Oryctolagus cuniculus: one gene and its partners. The protein of the gene in region 2 interacts with the protein of the main gene of each other region in a pairwise test. Links are inferred from orthologs where the notes say so. Each region holds a gene or a part of one and is shown on either strand. Other genes may lie near its edges.

Region 1 (4,596 bases), on a different chromosome or scaffold from region 2:
GGCCAGTCCCTGAGGCCGGCAGCTGCCGCTACCACTCCTGGGTGATGCCAGTGGCCATTGCCTTCCGGGCTGAGGTCCCCCGGGTGCTCCCGGCTCGTCCGTCCTGCAGCAGACAGGGTGGCACTGCCAGCGCTGGGAGCCACACGGCGTCCCTGCTGACGGGACAAGTCACCTTCAGGGACCCGAGACAGCTGAGTGCGGACGGCCGTCCGTCTGAACACAGGCTCCGGGACGGCTCCTCTCGCGTTCTTCCTGGGGTGCTCAGTTCTGCTGGAGCACCCCCCCAGATACACTCCTGTGGTCCCAACTCTGGCCAAGCCAGGGGTGGCCGAACCCCTTGGCTCCTCATTCCTTTTGGCGAGCCATACAGCCTGTGTGGACACTTCTGTGCCGGCCTGGCCTTTCCCAGACTAGACCCCAGCCTCCTTCCTAGCTGGAGACAGACTCCTGGTGCCTTCCAGGGAATCGCCGTGCTGGGGCCAGAGCTGACGGTCTCCCCGCCTCCGTCCCCACCGCCTCCCGTCTCAGCCGCCTTGAAACCACTGGGCTCCGGGGCTGGCTGTTGAACCTGGAGCCTCACCACTGTGCGCGTCCAGGCCCCTTTCTCCTGATCAGAACTGAGCCCACTGGGTTCTAGAACATTCACGTTTACCTCGAGGCCCTCCCGCCCCCAAGCTTCGGAGCAAGGGAGGGCCCTCACGTGTGCTGTGCCGTGTCTGCTGCTCTACTTGGTTTGCAGGGGGCAGGAGTGGGATTGGCGTGCATCCAGAGATGAGAAAATACATCTATTTAAGAATCCCAGGTGTGGTCCGATTCAGGCTGGGGCCTCCACCCGCACGGCCTTAGGCCTTGTCCTGCTCCCTCATCTCACCCTGCCTCCCCGGGGACTTCACCGAAGGCCCTTCTGCCTAACCGGTGCTTGATTTGCAAACTTTGGCAGGAGCGGCTGTGACTGGGAGCGAGCGCTGGCGGGCAGCCGTTCCCCCTACCACGACCCAGCCCGGCTGTCCTGCCGCAGGTGGGGGCGCCGTCTCCCGGGTTGGCTGTCCCCTGCGTGGCTCTGTTTCTCCCTTTGATTTCTCATCTTCACTAGGCCGGGTGTGCAGCTCAGAGGCAGCTGCTACTCGGGGACTCAGAGAGCTGGCTGTGTTGGGATGTGTCGTCATCCTTCCCCTTGGCCCGCGTGCGTGTGCGCATGTGTGAGACACACAGAAGCCCCCTTCTCCCTGGGAGCCCTGCCGGGAGGGGCGTGGCGCTGAGCAGGCCTCCAGCTCCCGGTTCACTTCCTCTGCTCCCGCAAAGGGAACAGGGGTCAGAGCTGACCCAGCAGACGCTTCTAGAAACCCGCGTAAGCTGCTTCAGTTCCCCTTTGGAGACTCTGGGCCCGGGTCGCACGTCTGGTTCCTGTGCTGAACCCCAACAGCATCACGCGCCCCTGCTCCTCCTGACCTGTCTTCTCGGTACGTGCCCTGCACCGGAGTTACCCCGGCGCGGGCGCAAGGAGCAGCAGCCTTGGCCGGCCGCTCTGGGCTGCCCGTGGTGAAGGGTCACTCATTGTTTACCTGCCTTTCAGAGCTTGGCCCGCTGCCTGACCCCATCACCGCCCAGGCTGCTGAGGCCGAACAGGGCCTTGCTGCCAGCCCTCCCTGAACCTGGCCCGACCCGCTGGGCAGGGCAGTTAACGGCCAGCCGGCCTGGCGGACCTCTCCCCTGCCAGCCCACTCCGTGGAGCCCTGAAGGTCCGTTCCGCCGCCTCCACCGTAATGCACACCACAACCCCATGCTGCAGCAAGAAACTTTATTTCCGTTTGGTCCCAGGTTTGGGAGAGGGTTCAGGGCTGTGAACAAGCTGCCTGGCGGCTGGCAGGAGAGCGCGGGCAGACGCGCGGCGCCGCTGGCTCCGGGCGCCCCTAGTCGTGCTTGAGCGTGAGCCTCTCGAAGAGATACTCGCCCAGCGAGGCCTGGGGGCCGCTCAGGCGGCGGATGTTGGTCAGGTGGTCGCCCATCTTCTTCAGGAGCTTCACCTCCTCGTCCAGGAAGTGGTTCTCCAGGAAGTCACAGAGCTGACGGAGAGAAGGGGAGATCAGACGGCGCACGGAGGAGGAAGGCTCACAAGGGAAATCAGCCCAATCAAAGGCGCGGTGGCGGGGGCACTTACGTGAGGGTCCGTGTGGGCGGATCCCAAGGCATGAAGGTCCAGGAGCGCCTGGTTCAGGTTCTTCTCCAGGGCCAAGGCGGCTTCCATGGCGTTGAGGGTCTTGCCCCACTCATCCTGGGACGGCTTCTGCACAAAGGACGAGGGGCTCAGCACTGGGCCCAAACTCCACTTTCCCAGCAGCCGTCGGGGGCCGGGGACGCTCAAAAGAGGTGGGCGGGCTTGTACTTACTACCCCCACCCTCCTACAAGAGTCGCCTCAGGAGACCACGCAGCGGCCCGGACCGCGGGGCCCTCAGGGTTCACCTCCTTTTCCAACCTTAACGACTCGCTCACGACTGAACTCAATCTCCCAGAAGGCCGCGCGACACCCAGCCGGCGCTCGGGCTCCGGTCTCGGCGCGCGCAGCCCGCCGGGAGATGTAGTCCGCGGGCCGCACACCAGGTACCTGCACGTCCTGGAAGAGGGCGCGGCCTCCGCGCTGGTTTTGCATCTTCAGGAGCCGCTCGGCGGCCTCGCGCTTCTCCTCCGCCAACTCGCGGAAGAAGTGGCTCACGCCCTCCAGAGCCACATCGTCGCGGTCGAAATAGAAGCCCTGCGGGAAGACGCGAAAGGAAAACCGTTGGCGGGAGGCGTGCGGGCTCCGCCCCCGGCGCCGCCGCGGGACAAAGCGGGCCCGCGCACGCGCAGTTGTGTGCAACTCGGGTCGGGGGCGTCCCGCGGACCCTCACCAGAGAGAGGTAGGTGTAGGAGGCCCGCAGATGCAGATTGACCAGGTGGTTGACGGCAGCCTCCACCTCGGGGGAGTAATTCTGACGGATCTGGGAGGTCATGGTTGGCGGCGGTGAGATGACCACAGAACCGCGGTGGGCTGGTCCCAGGAGCAGGAGGTGGCCGAGAGGTGGTCCCGGAGCTTCTGACTGGAGAGGAGGTCGGAGGGCGGTCGAAGCCTGTGAGAGAGTCCCCGGGCCTGTTCCGTTCAAACACTGTTGAAGCAAGACACAGGTCCGCGGGTCTCCCGACGCGTAGCTTCGGGCGGCTGCTTGGGCGGCGGCTTTTATACTCTGCTGGCCCTCGGGGGCGGGGCTCGGAGGGCGAGGGCTCGGCCAATTGGCGTTTGGGGGAGGCAGGGCCTCCGGGCGGCTTCTGACCAATCAGGCGCAGAAAGGGGGTCTCCGTCCCCACCCTGAGGTGGGGAAGTCACGCGCCTGTTGCGCGAGCCTGTTGTGAAATGGAGAATGGGGGTGGGGGTTCTGTGGCTGGTTCGGGGAAGTCGAGGGCTTCTGAGGGTCTCTCCGGGAGGTGAGAGGTTGGTGGGTGCCCGGGGAGCCCCTGGGGAGTGATGACCCTGTGGTCCTGGGGCTACCTCAGGAAAGCAGGGGTCTGTGGCCGTTTCTGAGAGCATGGAACTTTCTGGAACCCGGGGGGGGGGGGTCGTGCCTCAGAGCGCGGAGAGGACCTGCAGGCTGCCAGGGGTTTGTGCTGTGAGCTGAGGGGTCTCCCCGAGCAGGAGGGCTGTGGAGGGCTGTGGAGGTGGCTGTAAGCGAGCCCTGCGGATCTCTGGGAGGAGGGGGCTCCTGCCCTGAGGCCTGGGGGTTAGGAGGAGGTGGGGACACCATGGGCATCCACATTTAAGTCCTCCCCGGGAGGCCTTTAGGCGCTCCAGGTGGTCATTGATGCTGGGGCGTGTGGAGCCTGGGGTCGAAGTGGCGGGGAGGGGTCCTGGAAGTCTATTGGGGCGCGGGGGGAAGGGACGATTGTAAGAGGGGCCCGGCCCCTTAAGGCGCACAGAAGCCTGGGCTCCTCGGATGCCTTGGAGTCCGTCGGCGCCCAGCGTTCCTGGGAAGTGAGATGGGGAGAGTGAAACCCCCCGGGTGCTGGGGTCTCCCTGGGGTTGCGTTTCCTGGGGGGGCTGTTATGGCGGTAACCCAGAGACTTGGGGTCTCCCGTGGCCCCGGAGCAGTCTCTCTACAGAGGCCCCGTGTCTGGCCTGCCACCTGCTGCTTCTGCGTGTCCAGGAGACGCCTTGGGCGGCCGAGGGACAGAGGTCGGGGACACAGGGGCGGGGTGCCTGTCTCCCCGGAACGTGCATTTTTTTTAAACGCACCAGATGCATGTGGGTCTGGGAGTCAGGGGCTCAAACCAGCGCCCTGACCTCGGGGGAGGAGGAGCCAAGGCAGGACCTGGACCCCACTTAAGTGGCCCCTGGAGGCAGGCCTGGGGAGCCGAGGCCCCAGGCGCGGGGTGCAGGGTCAGGACCTGGGCGCTACAGCTCCTGGCCAAGGCGACCCCCAGGTGCTGGGCCCAAGCAGTATCTGGGGCCCTCGGCCTAGGCGGGTGACCAGGCCGGGATGTGCTGAGTCATGCTGACTCCGCGGGGGGAGGGGAAGGGGCAGTGGCCAGCGTCGGCCTTGGAGCTGCTGACTGCTTAAGACCCTTGG
Region 2 (6,435 bases):
CACATTCTCTGGCCTGCAAGGAAAAGACAGTGGCTGATTTAAACGCCTCCTCTTTCCTTGCACTGGGGCTGTGTCCCCGGGGGAGAGGAGCCCCACCCTCCCCAGCTGTGCACCCCCTGGCGGTAGGCAGCACAGGGCACGGAGCACGCAGCCAGGGCAGCTGCAAGGAGGTGGGCAGGTGAGCACACCTGTGAATTAGGGTGCAGTTGAGAGCTCTGCAGGTTCCCTCTGGAATTGTCTTCACCCAGCCTAGGCACCAGCGCCCCCCGGCGGTTGTCATGGCTGAAGTAGCACCTTGACAGTACGGACTCCATTTTGGAGAACCTGAGACTCCATTCTGGGAAGGTGCCCCCCACCCCATGAGACTCTGGTCTGAAACTGTGATCTAGAACAGTTGGACAATAGCAGTCCACTACATCACTCATGGCAGAGCATAGAGACCCCCTAGCGTGATCACTCAAGCTTGGGAGTGGATAGGCTGCACTTGGGTTAATGAAAAAAATGTAATGTGTCTATGTCCTACATGTGATTAAAACCAATACCTGGATTAATGTCGATTATAATTAAAATTGTTAAGATTGTAACTGGTATTGTCAATATTATACTTGATACTAGTTTCTCATAGGTTTTAGGTCAGCTTGACCCTGGTAACCATGTATTCCCCCCGATCCTAGCAACCATGTATTCCCCTCCTGATTTTGTGGTTTTTGCCTTTATAAACCCTGTTGCTTTGGGCTTCAGGGTCGAGAGTTCTTCTGGGCATGAGCCCACTCTCCGCCGCCGCCAATAAAGGACCATCAAATTTTATCAATGTGTGGTGCTCCTTGGTTTACACTCGCTTAGGTACAACATGGCAAAAGGGCAGGAGTCCCCGGTGTCCAGTGGCGGCCAGCAAGACAGTGAGGCGGTGCCTCTGGGCCCCCACCCACGGCCATCTGTGGAAGCCCCTCCAGCATCTGCAGGGTGGGGTGGGAAGGGGCGGGGCCCTCCTCTCCTCCCTGCCCGCTTCCCACGACATCATCATGGACGCCTTTCTAGCAACCAGTCTTTATTTCATTTTTTAAAAAAGGAAATCCAAAATAAGTTAGCAAAAAGAGAAAGAAAAAAAGAAAAATACAAAACAACAGCAAAACCACACACTGCTTAGTTCACAAACAAAATCACCCAAGAGCCGCGTGCCCGACCCCGCCTGTGCCCGGCAGCTTCATGTCAGCCCAGGAGGCCTTGGTCGGATGGCAGCTTTACAACAACACACGCAACACAACAGAAAACATAAAACCACTGGGGCGTTCCCGTCTTCACCGCCAGAGCTCGGCCCCGGGGACCTGGGGGCAGAGGGTTGAACCTCCCCGCTGCTCCCGCAGCTCAGGGCGGGCCCAGCCCAGCCACTGGCGGCAGGAAGAGACCGGAACAGGAGGCAGCGTGGCTGGTCGGGGTGGGTGGGGTGGGGTGGAATTAGAGGCTGTGTGTTGATAAAAGGAGGCTCCTGAGTTTGCCCCTGAGCTGGGGGCATACACAAGGGGGCGCTCTGGTCCCCTGCTTTGTCTCCCTGGAAAGGGGACATCCTGGGCCCCAAGGACTCAGCTAGAGGAGGACCTCCCTTCCCTTGCTGGGCGGCGCGTGAGCCTTACGGGGATGCGGAGGGGTGGCCTGCCGGCGGCAAGCCCAGGACTGGCTCCCTGGCATCAGGACAGCCTGGCTCAGGAGGCCCCTGCTGCAGAAGCGCTGGCGTCTGCGTCCAGCTGGGGGGCTGGCGCCGACACCCGGCCCGGCAGAGCGTCTCAGTTGGGCATGGTTTCATCGGGGAAGGCCACAGATACGTCCTCCACGGCGATGCTGTCCACGATGGAGGTGAGGGAGTGCAGGTTGTGGGCGTCTGTAGGGTCGGCTGCAAGCATATGGTCTGCAAGGGGGTTGGGCGGTGTTACCTGGGCAAGGAGGGGGTCTCCAGGGCAGAAGGCAGCTGAGCCCCACGTCCTGGCCCTCGTCTCTCCCAAAGCCATGTGTGTGTGTGTGTGTGTGTGTGTGTTGGGTGGTGGAGGGTCCAGGATCCGGAAGCAGCTACTCCTTAGAGGAGCCAGCGTGGTGTCTCCTTGGGGCCTGGAGCTGCCCTTTGCTGGGCCAGTGTTGCAGCACTGACTCAGCACTTCCCAGGGACCCCTGGGGCCGGGGCGTTCTCTGCTGAGGTCAGCGCCAGGCCCCAGCTGGGGAGCTGCAGGAGGCCACTCTTTGGCTCGGTGAAGCTGCAGGGACCCCAGGCCCTCCCAGCCCACCATCTGGATCCCCGGAGAAGCCGCAGGAAGGCAACAGGAACAAGGAATCAGGTAAGGGGAGAACCTGGCCCAGGAAGGGACTCGGGGACCGAGCCAGGATTGCTGCCAGGTCAGGCCTCACTTACCTCCTGGGTTGGGACCGAACTCCAGCGCGTTGCCCCACTCCGGGCTGCAGGAGGCGCTGTGGGAGCTGCATTCGCTGGGCACCTGCTAGACAGGGCGAGGGCCCAAGGTCAGGGCACAGCCACCCGCGGATGTGTGTCTGTGCTAGTCACAGTGGGCGGAAGCGTCTGTGGTGGGGACAGAGGGTGGACCCCAGGTTGGCCCACCTCCGGCGCAGGCCACCCCTGCCAGATATTCCTAACAGCCAGTGCCCCTCCCACCCACAGGGGCCTGGCTGCTGCCATCCGGGGAGGTGATGTGGCCCTCCCAGGACACCAGCTGGCAGGACGCTCTGGTCTGGTGACTGAGGCAGAGTGTCCGGCCCCACCAGGGTCGCCCCTGCCACAGGCCTGCTGCCCCTCGGGATGGGGTGGGGTGCGGGCCCTGCCCATCCTCTCTGCTGTGCTTGGCTTGGCCCTTTAGGATCTGGTGCCAGCCTTCGGATCGGACCTTGCTGATCCCCGAGCTGACTGTGCGCTTGCTCCAGGGACCCTCGCCACGCTGCCCCCACCCCACCCGCATCTCTCGCCCAACTCCTGGGGGCACAGGAGGTCGGCTGGACAGCCCAGCTCTGATGAGGGCCCCGGAGACGCCACCTGGCACCTGCCCCTCCCCCTCCCCCTGTGGGGGTCCCCTGGCTGCCGGCTTACCCCTGGCTGGGGCCCGGCACCGCCCCGGTAGCGCAGGTCTCGCTCCTCCTGGTTGAGCGAGCTGAGCAGCGCCTGCAGGCGCTCGATGTACTGGATGGCGCTGCGCAGGATCTCCACCTTGGGCAGCCGCTGGTTGGGGTTGAGCAGGGTGCTCCTCTTCAGGGCCTCGAAGGCCTCGTTCACTTTCTTGAGCCTGCGCTTCTCCCTGAGCGTGGCTGCCCGCCTCCGGTCCACAGACACTGACTTCCTCTTACACACCTTGCACGCCCACGGCAGGCATTGGCCCGGGCAGTGCTCGGGGGTCCCCAGCCCCTTGTCTTCCAGGGGCCCCCGGGCCTCCGGGCTCAGGCTGAGCTCAGTCCGCTCGTAGCCCGGCGGCTCGAAGCCCTGGAGGTGGACGGGCAGGTAGTTCTCCCCGTCGTAGAAGCGGGGCTCCTGGTAGAAGTAGGGAGACGTCTCATAGAGCTCCATGGGGTCGGAAGAGACCGGTTCCTGCCACCAGCCCCCAAGCTCCTGCAGCCCCTCACGCCAACTGCTGGGTGCCATTTAAACCCTCCCCGCTGGCATGGAACCAGAGATAAATATAGCCAACGCCGCGGAAACCTGAGCCCCTCTAAGCTGTTGCTGCGCATCAAGACGTATTCAGGGGCTTAGATGTGCGTCCCCTTCCCTCTCCCCCATGGCCCCCACCCCGCCCGGGCCGCCTGCCCCTGGCCTGCCGGCTCCTGTGCACGGGTCGGGAGGCCGTCGGGTGTAATTTGATTAGTTTTCATTTCTCGGCAGCCCCTGTGGGGCAGGCACATCCCCCTCTCATCTGCTCCTTTCAATTATTCCTGGCTGGGCGGCCCGCCTGCGCCTCCTTGCTGGTCGCGGAGAAGCCCTTGGGTGCCAGGGGAGGAGGGGGTGGGGAAGAGTAGCTCACCCACCTCCCCGTGTGCTGACAGCCCCTGGGCCCCCGTGTGGGTAGAAGGAGCCCCTGGAGAGACGACCCCAGAGGTTGGGCGTGGTGGGGACTCCTGTCCAGGGATAGGAAGGACCCACGCAGAGGGGCAGAAGGCTCAACTTCTGGGCTTCCAAAGTGGCTTTGAAATCCTCGGGTACACGTGGCTGGGGGTGGGCCGAGGCAAGGGAGACTTCCTGGGTTTGGGGCAGGGGTCAGGGTCCAAGCAGGGATTAGAACTCACAGCCCCCACGTCGCCAGCTTCCCGCAGTGGTGTGGCCTCCCTCTCCTCACCCTCGACCTCTGGACCCGTCTCTGCGTGTTCAACTGTTTTCTGCCCTCTTTCAGACACCAGAACCCTGCTGGGCCCCCACTGTGGGTGGGGGAGCAAAAGAGGAGCGAGCAGAGCCCCGCAAACCCCACTGCACACCCACTTCCCCTGGCCGGCGGGCCGGGTTCTGCGGCCCCCTCCTGTCTGAGCCATCAATCTCAGGTCTCAGATGGCAGGTGCAGGGGAGGCTCTGAGGCTCTGGTGTCTCAGCCCACGGATGCCTCTGGCTCTGGAGGGTCGGTTTCTCCTGGTGCAGTGGGCAGACCTGGGGCACCTACAGTGAACAAGCCTCAGCCCTAGGGTTGGGGTTGGAGGGACCCCCCACCTTACCCCCTCCCACCTTACCAGCCGGTACACCTCACTTGACCCAACCCCAGTGCCCAAATCCCCTTTCCAGGTGGCCCTTGTCCGACTTCTGCTGACATCACAGAACAGCCGTGGCACCCCGCGTGGCTCTGAGTGGTAGCCTGCCTCCTGTCTTTGACTCTGATCCCGGGTTTCTCCCCAGGCCCCCGTGAGTGAGGCTGATCCATCCCGCTACCCCTGTCTTGTGACAGATGAGACACCCACTTCAAGTTTAAACCCACGCCCAGGACAGAAGAGAAAGCAGTGGGCACTGGGGGTTGGGGAGGTGGGATCTGTATGGAGTTGGAGGCCTGGCTCTTTCTTCCTGCCGTCCTCAGAGGAGCCAGGAAGAGGCTGGCGAGGCGAGGTGAGACGGTGACCCAGCCGCACGTGTTCAGGGGCGGTGAGGTCTTGCCAGTGTGATAGGAAGTGGCACGCGGCTGCCGTGGGCTCCAGTCCCTGCTGTGGCTTCAAGAAGGAGCCTGGGCTGGCGCCGCGGCTCACTAAGCTAATCCTCCGCCTTGCGGCACCGGCACACCGGGTTCTAGTCCCGGTCGGGGCGCCAGATTCTGTCCCGGTTGCCCCTCTTCCAGGCCAGCTCTCTGCTGTGGCCAGGGAGTGCAGTGGAGGATGGCCCAAGTGCTTGGGCCCTGCACCCCATGGGAGACCAGGATAAGTACCTGGCTCCTGCCTTTGGCCGCGGCGGCCATTGGAGGGTGAACCAACGGCAAAGGAAGACTCTCTCACCTCTCACTGTCCACTCTGCCTGTCAAAAAAAAAAAAAAAAAAAAAAAAAGGAGCCTGATTTCCCGTATACTCCCCACGAAACCAGGAGAAAGGAAGAGCCTGCCCAGTGTGTGTGCATTTGCACATGTGAGTGTGTGCACGTGTGCAGGGTGATGGTGCATGGTTGCTTTGTAAATGACGGGCACCTGGCACAGAAGCTCCCAATGAGTCTGAGTCCCTCTTGCTTTGTTTTCTCACTCCTGGGTCCCACCCTTAGCCCCCTTGTCCTCCCCCAGGCTGTCCTCATGGCTTCCAGGCCCACAAAAGCAGGGGAGGAAGAGGGAGAACCCAGAGTTCCTCCCTCCCTCCCTTCCTTCAATGAAGAAACAAGCATTGGGCGCCATGTGCCAGCCGCGGGGCCCCTGGCGAGGGTGAGGCGTGATCCCTCCGCCTTCAGCGGGCGCACAGTTGGAGAAGGCAGGTGCGTGTGTGAAGCCGTCTTCCCGAGGGAGACAGTGTCCGCGGTAAAAGCCGGGATCGGTCCACTCGCTGCTTCCTCTCCGCAGACACAGACTTCCTGAGCAAGAACCTTCTGGGTCCTGGCTGGGAGCAAACCGGGCGAGAGCAGGGGACACCCACAACCTCTGTCCGCCCCAGGCTGTATCCCCACCCATGTCTGAGGGGGCACGGCTGGGGGTCAGGGTGACCTCATGTGTCCGGGTCTCTGCGAGTCCTTGTGTGCAGATGTGCCCATGTTGGCCTGAGCGAGGTGGCCAGGGAGCATGTCACGGGCCCTGCGTGTCCCACAGGACCACACATAACGGACACTCTGCTCTTGCAAACCTCAGTGGGGGGCCCATGCCCACTGTGTTCAGCTCTCTGAGCCAAGCGGAGCTGCACCTAGAGCCTTGGTCCTCCTCCCCAGCACCCCCTCCACCCCCAGAAGCTGCCCTCTGATGGATGGGAACACATTGGTGCCAAGCACAGAATAGCCTTTGTGCTCCGCCA
Region 3 (5,432 bases), on a different chromosome or scaffold from region 2:
CAGCCAGCACGTCCCTGCATGGTCTCACGGGCTCCCTTGTGTCATAACCTTCCTTGAAACGGTTTTGGGGGCTGCTAAGGCTGAGTCAAGGCTGGTATCCACCGGATGGTGGCAGCTCACTGCCAGCACGCTGCAGGCATCCTGAGATGTTCCCGGGGACCCCTCAGAGAGCTGCCTCCCCAGAGACAGGTGCCTGCTGGACACTGAGAGGCGTGGCCCAGGCCTGGTGTCGCATCACTCCAGCACGCACTGCGGGATTGTTAGTGTATTCAGAACCTGTAAAAATTATAATAAATGTTTGAGGCTGCTTCCTTTTATGTAGTTTGTTTCCATATAGACTGTGATAGATGTCCCCAGCGGGAGTTCTGGCCCTGGCTCTGCCTAATACATGCTGGGGGGTTGGACAACTCTGCCTCTGAACCAGGTCTTCCCATCAGTAAAATGGGGGCAGTGGGGCCTTCCCCAGACACCTTGCTCCCTTGGCCCCTCTTGTCTGTCACCATTTTAGTGATAGGTTCGTCAGTGTCAGTAATCTCAGCCTGTGCACCACCTGGGCTCCCTTGCACATCTGCTTTGCTCTGGCCCACGTCTGCCAAATACTGATAGAGGAGTCAGAAGTGGACGCATTTCAGATCCCTGTGGGCCTTCCCCGGGCCCCGCGCCTCTCTGGTTACTCCCTGATACCTGTGAGGCTCCTGCAGCAGCTACCCACGTTTCATCGCATTCATCACATCCATGTTACACTCAGGAGATGACCGTAATTCTTAACCTACTGAGATGACAGGCAGGCAAGAACCGCCTCCTGCCCTTCCTGTGTCTCAGGAAGAGGTGCGCCTGCTGCTAAGGTGAACCCCTTCCTGGGTACTCTACTGCAGCCACATTCCATTTTAGGGTCTCTAGAGCCTTTTACGGAAGTGTCCACAAGTGCGCGACCCGGACTTGAGGGTGGAAGGGAAGGACATACACCATCATTGAGAGATGCTTTGCTGAAAGTTGCCACGCATTGTTTCCCATGGGTGTTCAAATTCACATCATCCTCAAAGGCCTCATGGTATGCCTATATGTATCTATTTAACCAGGTCTCTATGCATAGACCAGTCTTGTTTACCTTTTGCTATTACAGTACTGTCTTGAATGTCCCTGTAGCTTTGTTTACAACTGCAAACATCTTGGCAGAATGAATTTTTAGACGTATTATTGTTGATTCAAGGGCATATGCAGGTCTTGCCAAGTTACCTTGCAAGTTGGGTGAGACTGGTGGTGGGGTGGGGAGTAGAAAATGCGGGCCATGGTGCAGCCGCAGCCTCCCAGCGGCAGGGGGCGCTGCTCGCGCGTCTCGGCGGAAGCTGCGGGGGCCGCGCTGTCCGGCTTCCGGTGACAGAGCCGCGCAGGCGCGACGGGGGCGACGCGAGGGGCCGGCTAGGAGGCCTCAGGGGCGCGATGCCGTACGCTAATCAGCCCACGGTGCGCATCACCGAGCTCACTGACGAGAACGTCAAGTTCATCATCGAGAATACGGACCTGGCGTAAGGCTGCTGAGGGGAGAGGCTGGCGGCCCTGCCGAGCCGGCCCGAAGGGTGGGGGTGCCCTCCCACGGCGGCCACCGTGCCAGGGCTTTAGCTTTGGGAGCCCGGGGCCGGCCTGTCGGGGCTGCGGCGCCCTCACGCCTCTCGCTTTCTCGTCCTTCAGGGTGGCCAATTCTATCCGGAGGGTCTTCATCGCGGAGGTGCCTATAATAGGTAAGCGAGCCCCGCCGCACCCTACCGGGACCACTGGTTCCCCGGCTTCCCAAGGCCCCACGCACCTGTGCCGCCTCCAGGCCTGGCTTGGGGGTGGAGGTGCCGAGGCTGGGTCGCACCCGGTGCCTCTGGCCCGGCTGCCCCGTTGGCCACTTCGGCCCCCCTGCCGTGTGCCTCGCGGAGCAGCACGGGTTCGGCAGGGGCTGCCCTGGGCTCCGATGCGGTTTCCACGCGCGCGCTCGGTGGAACTTAGGCAAGTCGTGACCCTTCTGTGTGCTGCTGGTTCTCATCGGAGACATTGGACGCTGGTGTTACTCACCAGGCCGACGGCGGGGACCAGTGAGTGAGCGATTCTGATGGATGTGCACGGGGCTCGAGGACCTCGCAGCAGCGGCCCGCAGGGGTGGGAGGGCCTCTGGCCTCTGTGCCCCAGTGTTTTCTGCGTTGACTGTGCTTGTGTAAAATACCAGGGGTGTTTTGTGTCAGCTCAGTGAGTTTGCGTTTGGCAAAAGAGATGTTGTGGCTGCTGCATCAAGTGTTCAGACTCTGAAGGAAGCGGCACACACCAGCTGCTTGCTAAAGCCGCCGCCTCCGCCCCCCGTCGCCTCAGCCCCGCTGGGCCTCGGTGGGCCCCGCTTTTCACATTCTCAGCTCTGCAAATGCGCACCCATGCTGGGCAAACAAAGGCAGCTCAGACCCGGCCTCAAGGAATTCTCCAAGCCTGCGGTGGGGATGAGACACAAATCCGACACTGAGCAAAGCATGACCGCTGTGCTAAGGGGAGTCAGAGCTGGCCTTGTCCGAGCGGGGTTCAGAGGCCGGGGGTGCTCACGGCTCAGTCTGAAGCGCAGGCGGGACTCGGGTTTTAGGCTCGGGGGATTTGGAGCTGCACGAGGAAGGAAAGTGCGGGCCAGGAAGCAGCCGGGGTCCGGGGGTACGTGAAGAGGCAGAGGGGCCTGGGTTGGGGCCTGAGACGACTGGTCCCCTTCTGACCTCTGCTCCCAGCGGCCATGCCCCCCCTGGCAGCTGGGCAGCAGCCCTGTTTGATTTCGGCGTTTGTATGAATGAGTGAGTAAAGTGGGGTTGAAGTCACGTGGGTGTGAGACAGTCCTCACCGTGCTGCCAGCTCGTTGCTGGCAAGGACCGGTTTCTCTGTAAGCTGCCTGGTTCCTGACAGGACGCAGTAACCTGTGTCGGCTGAGTGATGAGGAAATGCTCGTTGGGTGGGCCAGCGTTACATCCTAAGACGCGGTTCCTGCTGTCGGCCTGTTCGTTGTTCGTGAGTTTCCCTCATCGCAGTGGCTGAATCGTTTGTGTTCCTGGCTGTTTGGCACTGGCACAGGTGGCAGATACATTGGCTTCTCACAGAAATCGGCAGCAGGTGTGCCTGCTGCGGTGAGGCGCTCTGAGCCGGCGTTCCCGTGTGGTCCAGGAAGCCCCTGCCTGAACTCCCCCCCGGGCGGGCAGGGGCCGCGGTGCCTGCGTGGTGCCTGAGCCCTGCCCGGTGCTGCTGCAGTCAGTCCCCGGCCGCCCGGCCTGGCCCGGCCCGGGCATTCCTGAATCTTGGCACTCACTGCCCTGAGCTTTGGGGAATTTGGTTGCTGAATGAAGTCTCACCTCCGCCCCTTCTCGTTTTAGCCATTGACTGGGTTCAGATCGATGCCAACTCCTCCGTCCTGCATGACGAGTTCATCGCGCACCGGCTCGGTGAGTGCTGCTCTGGGGGAGGTGAAGGGACGGTGCGGCCGATGCCGCAGGAGGCCTCCCCACCGCGGGGCGCCTGTGGGCTCTCGTTTTGGGCATGGCTGTCTGGCTGCCTTGAAAGCGCGGGTCTGTGTCTTACAGGCTTGATTCCTCTCACGAGCGACGACATCGTGGACAAGTTGCAGAACTCCCGGGTATGCTGCGAGAGTGGCTGTGTGTGGCTCGGGTAGGGGCTTAAGGGCCCACAGGACTTGTCCTTGGCATCTGGCTGCCAGCATGGACTGCGCCGTGGTTGTAGGGAGACGGCGGAGATGTTGTCCAGAGCCCGAGGCAGGTGTCTTTGGGCTTGGTGCTGATGAGGATCCCATTGGTTATGTCCGTCTGGAAGTCTCAGGAGCCAGTCCCACAGAGGGGCAGCCACCAGGGGGCCTGCCTGTGCAGCACAGGGGCTGTTGCTTCCACAGCACCACCACCACCCCTGCCCCGGGGTCGGGGGGCAGAGGCACAGAGGTTGGTGTAGGTGCGGGCAAGGAGCAGAGGGGCTGGGCGCTGTCTCACAAGAGCAGCACCCCCTGCACGCAGGCAGCGGCTCAGGGAGCGGGCCGAGCAGGCAGCTGTGGGGCTTCCCGGCTCTCCGTGGGCTCCTTCCAGCTTCCCTCTCCGCTCAGGACTGCACCTGTGAGGAGTTCTGCCCCGAGTGCTCGGTGGAGTTCACCCTGGACGTGCGGTGTAACGAAGACCAGACTCGCCACGTCACGTCCCGAGACCTCATCTCCAACAGCCCCCGCGTCATCCCGGTCAGTGTCTGGAGCGCCCCCTCCCCCGGGGCTCTGCCGTGGCCGGCTTTGGCGGCCGGAGGGCTCGGGTCCCGGTCTGATGCCTACCAGCCTGGTGCTGGTTTCTGCTCGGGCAGCAGCAGCACTGGGGCTGGCAGCTGCTGGGGTGAGAGAAGCGGCCGCTGATGATGCAGTTTAGGTTTTCTTTGTGTCCGTCACCCAAGGGCCCTCCGAGAGGCCGGGGTCTTGACCACACCATGGAGCAGGCCCCTCCGCCGGCCCCTCTCGCATCCCGCGCTTGCGCAGAGTGCAGTCTGGAGGTGCTGTGGGAGGAGCAGCTGACAATTGCCTGGGTTTGGGCTCCCTACAGGTGACGTCCCGGAATCGAGACAATGACCCCAACGACTACGTGGAGCAGGACGGTAAGGGCTGGAGAGCGTGCGTGCGTCACCTTTGATAGAGCCTCTCCTGCCGCCCGAACTCGTGTAAAGTGGCCGAGGGCCCGTGTTTGCGTCGCGTGTCACCCTCAGCGGCACTGTCGGTCCACGCGGGGAGAGCCACGCTCCTGGCCGGGACTGACTCGCACCTCTCCTCGCAGACATCCTCATCGTCAAGCTGAGAAAGGGCCAGGAGCTGAGACTCCGAGCCTACGCCAAAAAGGGCTTTGGCAAGGAACACGCCAAGTGGAACCCCACCGCGGGGGTTGCTTTCGAGTACGATCCAGACAATGCCCTGAGGCACACGGTGTACCCCAAGCCCGAGGAATGGTATGCTCCAGGGGGAAGGCGGGTGTGCAGAGGGCTGCTGGTGCCGGAGGTGGGGCAGGCGGTCTGGGAACAGCAGCCTCTGCTTCTCTGACCTCAGGCCAAAGAGCGAGTACTCCGAGCTGGATGAGGATGAGTCTCAGGCTCCCTATGACCCCAACGGCAAGCCCGAGAGGTGAGACCTGGTCGCACGGGGGGCGGGGTCTTAGTGCATGGCATCTGCCGCAGGCTCAGTCATCAGCCGAGGGGCCGCTGCTGCTCACCACTGAACTAAAGTAGTGCTGTGTGCACATGCCCTCTGGTTACGAGAAAGGGGCTCTCCACTCACCCAGATGGTTCCCATTCTGATTTCCAGCCCCTAGTGTGCAGACTGTTCAGGTCCAAGCCAATTTACACACATTTACGTACATAGTTAGAGGCAGAGCAGGGCTCCATCTGCCCGTTCCCTG
Region 4 (4,789 bases), on a different chromosome or scaffold from region 2:
CCTCTTGTTCACTCCCCAGTGGCTGCGATGGCCGGAGCTGGGCTAATCCAAAGCCAGGAGCCAGGAGCTTCTTCCAGGTCTCCCACGTGGGTGCAGGGGCCCAAGCACTTGGACCCTCCTCCGCGGCTCTCCCGGGAGCATTAGCAGGAACCAGCACAGATGTGGAATGCTGGCGCGGCAGGCGGCAGCTTCACCTGCTGGCCCACTGACAGTATTTTGTATTACTCTCCCTGTTTCCTGATAGCGAGTAGTAGCAGAACCATGAACGAGAGGAGCTGGTACGCTTTTCCTGGGGCTAGAAAAAAGGGGAGGTGCTGAGCCCCTGTTCAACTGCGGGCTGAAGGAGGAAGCCCGGCAGCTGACGAGAGAAGACCGTGGTGGCGTCCCTGGGGTGTGCCCTAGAGAAGAGCCTTGGGAGCCGTCTTGGGCCTGAGCAGTAGAAAGACGCACGAGATGTTCTTGGCACAGAACTGACCGCGAGAAGAGGAAGGGGGAAGTGGGCGGCACCCAGGGCTCTCAGACTCCAGCCTGAAGCAGACAGCGCTCTCAGTTCTTCCCTGAGACGCCCACCTGCTCTGTCAGGTGTGTGCTTTAAACTTGGCCTGCTTACAAACTGGCCGTGACCGCCGTGACCATATAGCCAGGACAAGTGCAGACGTTGCTGTGGGACGTCCAGAAGAGGCGAGCCTGACTTAGCCTAACCTGGGAGGCCTTCAGAAGTGTTCAAAAGAGATGGCCTCGGGCTGCGTGCTGAAGGCCAAGGTAACTAGAGGGAGAAGGGCTTCTTGGAGAGACCGCGTGATGGACGTGGAGGGGTGAGTTTGGGGAACTGCGATTGCGTTGATGCAGCTGGACTACAAGGAGCTACTGGGACCAGGCAGGAGGTGAAGTTGAGAGGACGGGACAGAGCAGGGCTGCACCAGGCTGAGGCACACCTGGGTCTGCTCACCTGGGTCCCTGGGGACGTGACTTGGGTAGCTGATAGACAGTAGATGCTTGGTACGTAGTGGTCGTTTTTACTCTGTGTAGCTCTCTGTGGGCGGACTCTCTTTTGAAGAGGAAACCGAACCAACTCCTAAGTTTACTAAAGGGAGAGGGTGTATGTGAGTGCAGATAATGGTCTCCCAGCAGTGCAGTGAGGCTGACCTGGGCCGGAGCGACGGTAGCAATAGCCGCACAGTCAAACTCCCCTCACCCTTCCTTGGTGCGTCCTGCTGGCTTTCTCTGCTTTTGCTCCTTGTCTGAGTCCCTCATGGCTCTGCCTGAATGGGGTCCATCTGGCTGCTGCAGCTCCTGAATCTGTCATCTCTCCTTGCAGATGAAATGCTGAGCGAGGGATCTACTCATGTTCTTTCTAGCAAGGCCCTGACATAGGTTATTGGCCAGGCTGGAATGCCCTTTAGTCTGGTAACCTTCCTGGCCGCGTCTCGGCCGAGGTGGAAATGGGGCGTGGACACCTGCGTGTGTCCACAGCAAAGACTAAAATGGGCAGAGCGGGTGCCCAAACACATGTCTGTCTCATCCATTCTAATATTTTCCTAAATTTTCATTCATTTAGAGCAGCATGGGGGCAGGCAGGAGGATCGTCTGTCTGCTGGTTCACTCCCCCAAATGCCAGAAGCAGCCAGACCTGGCATAGGCTGAACCAGAAGCCTAGAACTCCCATCAGGTCTCCCATGTGGGGGGCAGGGACCCAAGTACTTGCGGCGTCACCTGCTGCCTTGCTAGGTGCACGTTAGCGGGAATGTGGCTCGGAACGGCGGGGGGGCGGGGCTTGGACCCAGGTGCTCTGATGATGTGGAATGGGTGCTTCATGGGTGCTAGGTGCTTGAGATTCATGGGCAAAAACCGAGCCGCAAATAGAAAATATTCCACAGCATGTTTCTGTATCTGTGTAGCATGTACCTAAGTTATAATTGGGCATTTCTGGTCTCTTTCTTGAGAATTGCCTAATCCCATTTGTCTGTGTATATAATCATGCGTCCAAAAGAGGATTTGGAATAGGACCCATGATGAGTTAGAGGCCCAGCTCGGCAATAAACGACATTCTCCCTGCTCTGTGGCCGCACCTTCCTTTTATTTTCTCTGGATCTGGTGCACTTTAGGTGTACCTGAAAGTCTTGGTTTCACCACTCCTGAGAGGTGGCCCTTACAACAGGTCAGACTCCGTGCTGTGAAGCGAGAACACTCGAATTTGTTGTTTCAGGCATTTATTTTTCCCTTTACTCTGACGCTCACTCGGCATCTTCTTGGCTGTGTGTTAGGGCCGCATCTTCTGGCCCTTACGTGTTGGTCATCCTGAGATGAAGTGAGACACTGCTGCGCGGAACCCTCCATCTAGTGGAGCGAGCGCACTGGCCTCCAGGCTGAGGGGGCGTGTGCGGACGCACCGTGTGGGCGTGCAGGCTGCAGGGCTGGGAGTGTCAGCCAGCCGCACTTGCGTTTCTTTACCTCTGTCCTGAAGGGCAGGCATCAGGGGTGAGAGGCAGCTGAAACAGAGGTAAGGACAGAGGTTAGCCAGATGTGCACTCAGAAGGACCATGCTGGTGATGGTGACGACACAGAGGGTAGAGGGAGCGAAGACTGGGGTGAGGGCATTCACAGAGAAGAGGCCTGAACCTGCGCATGGCAGTGCGGAGGGATGGGGAAAAGGGGCAGTCTGTGGGTAAGTTTCCAGCTTCCATCTGAAATGCCAAAGCAGTGGTCTAGTCAGAAATTCTGCTCATTCCTGGTGCAGAAAGCAACCCCTAGAACTGTTTCCGTTACTCCCTTTAAGCGCTCTTTGTGGCTTGTTAGAACGCAGAGCGCGCTTCCTGGGGGTCACAGCTCATTCTTGTTCCACCTTCCTGGTTTGCCTGCGCACTCCCTTGTCCCTCTCACCTCGCAGGGCTCTCGGGGCTGTACCCTGAGTGAGTTCAGCGTGGCTGCGGTAGCTGGCTTGGTAGGGAAGCAAGAGTCAGCCTAGTTGTGAACGGCGGTGTTTGCTTTCCCTTCAGCCTGAAAGACGATGACAGCGGGGACCACGATCAAAATGAAGAAAACAGCACACAGAAAGATGGTGAGAAGGAAAAAGCCGAGCGCGAGAAGAGCCAGGGCGGCAGCAAGAGGAAGGTGGGTGACGCCGCCAGACGCGGCTTCCTGCGTGCTGCAGGCTGCGTCTGGGAGGGGCAGGTGAACTTAACAGCACCCTGTGTTGGGATACCTGCTTTTGTTCTCATGAAAGGATTGTAGAGGCCTGGGGGCTCATTTTGGGGTTAGGATTTCTTGGTTGACATAGGATCTTAGGTGTCGCCTTCTCCTGGCCTGGGAGTTAACAAGGCCGGTGGCTGCTTCATGGTCCTGCACAGCCCGTGAAAGTTTGACCCCTGCAGTCAGTGATGGTCTATGTTGACATTTCACTTGCAAAAGAGAAAATGCAGAGAATGACAGATGGATCCGTTTTTTTTCCTTGAAATAAAAAATAGTCACTAATTCATTTATTCTGCATTATTGAGTTCCCTCCGAGGGGTAGCATTTTATGCTAGGTGCTGAGAAGACACAAACGTGAATTAGACTGTGGGTCAAGGAACTTTCATTTCTTTTTAATAAGATGTGTTTATTTGAAAGGCAAAGTCGCAGAGAGATGGGGGTAGAAGGGGTGCGTGTCGCTCCCCCTCTTCGTGGAGGAACGACACTAAGCCCTGCCTAGGCTTCATATCCGAGTCACGGCACCATTATGTTGCTCCCCCTCTTCATGGAGGAACGACACAGGACCCTGCGCTGTTCTTTCGTCTGCTCGGCCCTCCCCGGGTTTGCTGCTGGTTCTTCCCAGGTTGGCTGCTGGTCCTTCCCGGGTTGGCTGCTGGTTCTTCCCGGGTTGGCTACTGACCCTTCCACCTCCGTGGAAGGGCGGTTCCCCCTGCCACATTCCCCACTTCCGCGGGGGAGCGGTACACCGCTGGCCGGCTCTCTCGGGGGCTGCACAGGTGTCCCCCTTAGATGTTCCTGGTGCATGTTGTCTCTCTCCTCCTTTATAGTCCTCTTCCACCAATCCCAACTCTGCTACCCACACGCCGAGTACACTGCTCTCCTCCAATCAGGAGCAGGTCCTGCAGCTTGTCAAGTTGGTGAGAGGCAGCTGTGTAGAAGCTGGTTCCTCCTCTCCCAGCGCCATATTGTGGGAGAGCAGATGCATAGAATAAGTCTTAATTCGAGTAACTTAGTCTAGTCCGAGTTGCTCCCAGTTGCTCCCCACAGGTGGGAGAAGAGAGGTCTTCCGTCCACTGGTTCACTCCCCAAATAGTGACAGCAGCCGGGCCTGAGCTAGGCTGGAGCCAGGAGCCAGGAGCCAGGAGCTTCCTCCAGGTCTCCCATGTGGGTACAGGGGCCTAAACACTTGGGCCACCCTCCACCACGTTTTCAGGCCAACAGTGCAGTAGCTGGATCAACAGTGGAGTAGCCAGGACTCACACCGCTACCCGTGTGAGATGCTGGAGCTGCAGGCAGCAGCTTTACCCCCCGTGCCACAGTGCTGCACCGCTTGTTTTTAAAAAAAGATTTATTTTTATTATTTATTTTAAAGACAGAGTTACAGAAAGAGGGAGAGTCAGAGAAAGAGAGATCTTCCATCTGCTGGTTCCCTCCCCAAATGGCCGCAATGCGGGAGCTTCTTCCAGGTCTCCCACGTGGGCTCAGGGACCCAAACACTTGGGCCATCCTCTACTACTTTCCCAAGCACATTAGCAGGGAGCTGGATTGGAAGAGGAGCAGCCAGGACTTGAATCAGCATCCGTATGGGATACCGGCGCGG

The links. The genes of interacting proteins can lie anywhere in the genome.
Region 1: the proteins of MYOG (region 2) and FTL interact in binary tests that used the Homo sapiens proteins (3 or more experiments, as listed by UniProt). The two-hybrid records come from large-scale screens. The link is inferred for Oryctolagus cuniculus from reciprocal best matches to the Homo sapiens genes MYOG and FTL.
Region 3: the proteins of MYOG (region 2) and POLR2C interact in a two-hybrid assay, tested with the Homo sapiens proteins (2 studies listed by BioGRID and IntAct). The link is inferred for Oryctolagus cuniculus from reciprocal best matches to the Homo sapiens genes MYOG and POLR2C.
Region 4: the proteins of MYOG (region 2) and EIF4E2 interact in binary tests that used the Homo sapiens proteins (3 or more experiments, as listed by UniProt). The two-hybrid records come from large-scale screens. The link is inferred for Oryctolagus cuniculus from reciprocal best matches to the Homo sapiens genes MYOG and EIF4E2.

Annotation. Positions count from the first base shown.
Region 1 is NC_091449.1:8,286,623-8,291,218, forward strand, and holds FTL (ferritin light chain), read right to left. Parts: upstream 3,090-4,596; 5' UTR 2,989-3,089; coding exon 2,887-2,988; intron 2,751-2,886; coding exon 2,604-2,750; intron 2,285-2,603; coding exon 2,159-2,284; intron 2,064-2,158; coding exon 1,911-2,063; 3' UTR 1,783-1,910; downstream 1-1,782.
Region 2 is NC_091444.1:18,827,740-18,834,174, forward strand, and holds MYOG (myogenin), read right to left. Parts: upstream 3,788-6,435; 5' UTR 3,632-3,787; coding exon 3,086-3,631; intron 2,484-3,085; coding exon of another isoform or gene 2,481-2,483; coding exon 2,399-2,480; intron 2,325-2,398; exon of another isoform or gene 2,155-2,324; intron 1,904-2,154; coding exon 1,782-1,903; 3' UTR 1,032-1,781; downstream 1-1,031. UniProt on the Homo sapiens protein: Acts as a transcriptional activator that promotes transcription of muscle-specific target genes and plays a role in muscle differentiation, cell cycle exit and muscle atrophy.
Region 3 is NC_091449.1:41,014,742-41,020,173, forward strand, and holds the start of POLR2C (DNA-directed RNA polymerase II subunit RPB3), read left to right. Parts: upstream 1-1,350; 5' UTR 1,351-1,440; coding exon 1,441-1,526; intron 1,527-1,689; coding exon 1,690-1,739; intron 1,740-3,377; coding exon 3,378-3,446; intron 3,447-3,584; coding exon 3,585-3,637; intron 3,638-4,111; coding exon 4,112-4,240; intron 4,241-4,589; coding exon 4,590-4,641; intron 4,642-4,817; coding exon 4,818-4,986; intron 4,987-5,083; coding exon 5,084-5,158; intron 5,159-5,432. UniProt on the Homo sapiens protein: Core component of RNA polymerase II (Pol II), a DNA-dependent RNA polymerase which synthesizes mRNA precursors and many functional non-coding RNAs using the four ribonucleoside triphosphates as substrates.
Region 4 is NC_091434.1:6,907,469-6,912,257, reverse strand, and holds part of EIF4E2 (eukaryotic translation initiation factor 4E type 2), read left to right. Parts: intron 1-2,996; coding exon 2,997-3,111; intron 3,112-4,789. UniProt on the Homo sapiens protein: Recognizes and binds the 7-methylguanosine-containing mRNA cap during an early step in the initiation. Acts as a repressor of translation initiation.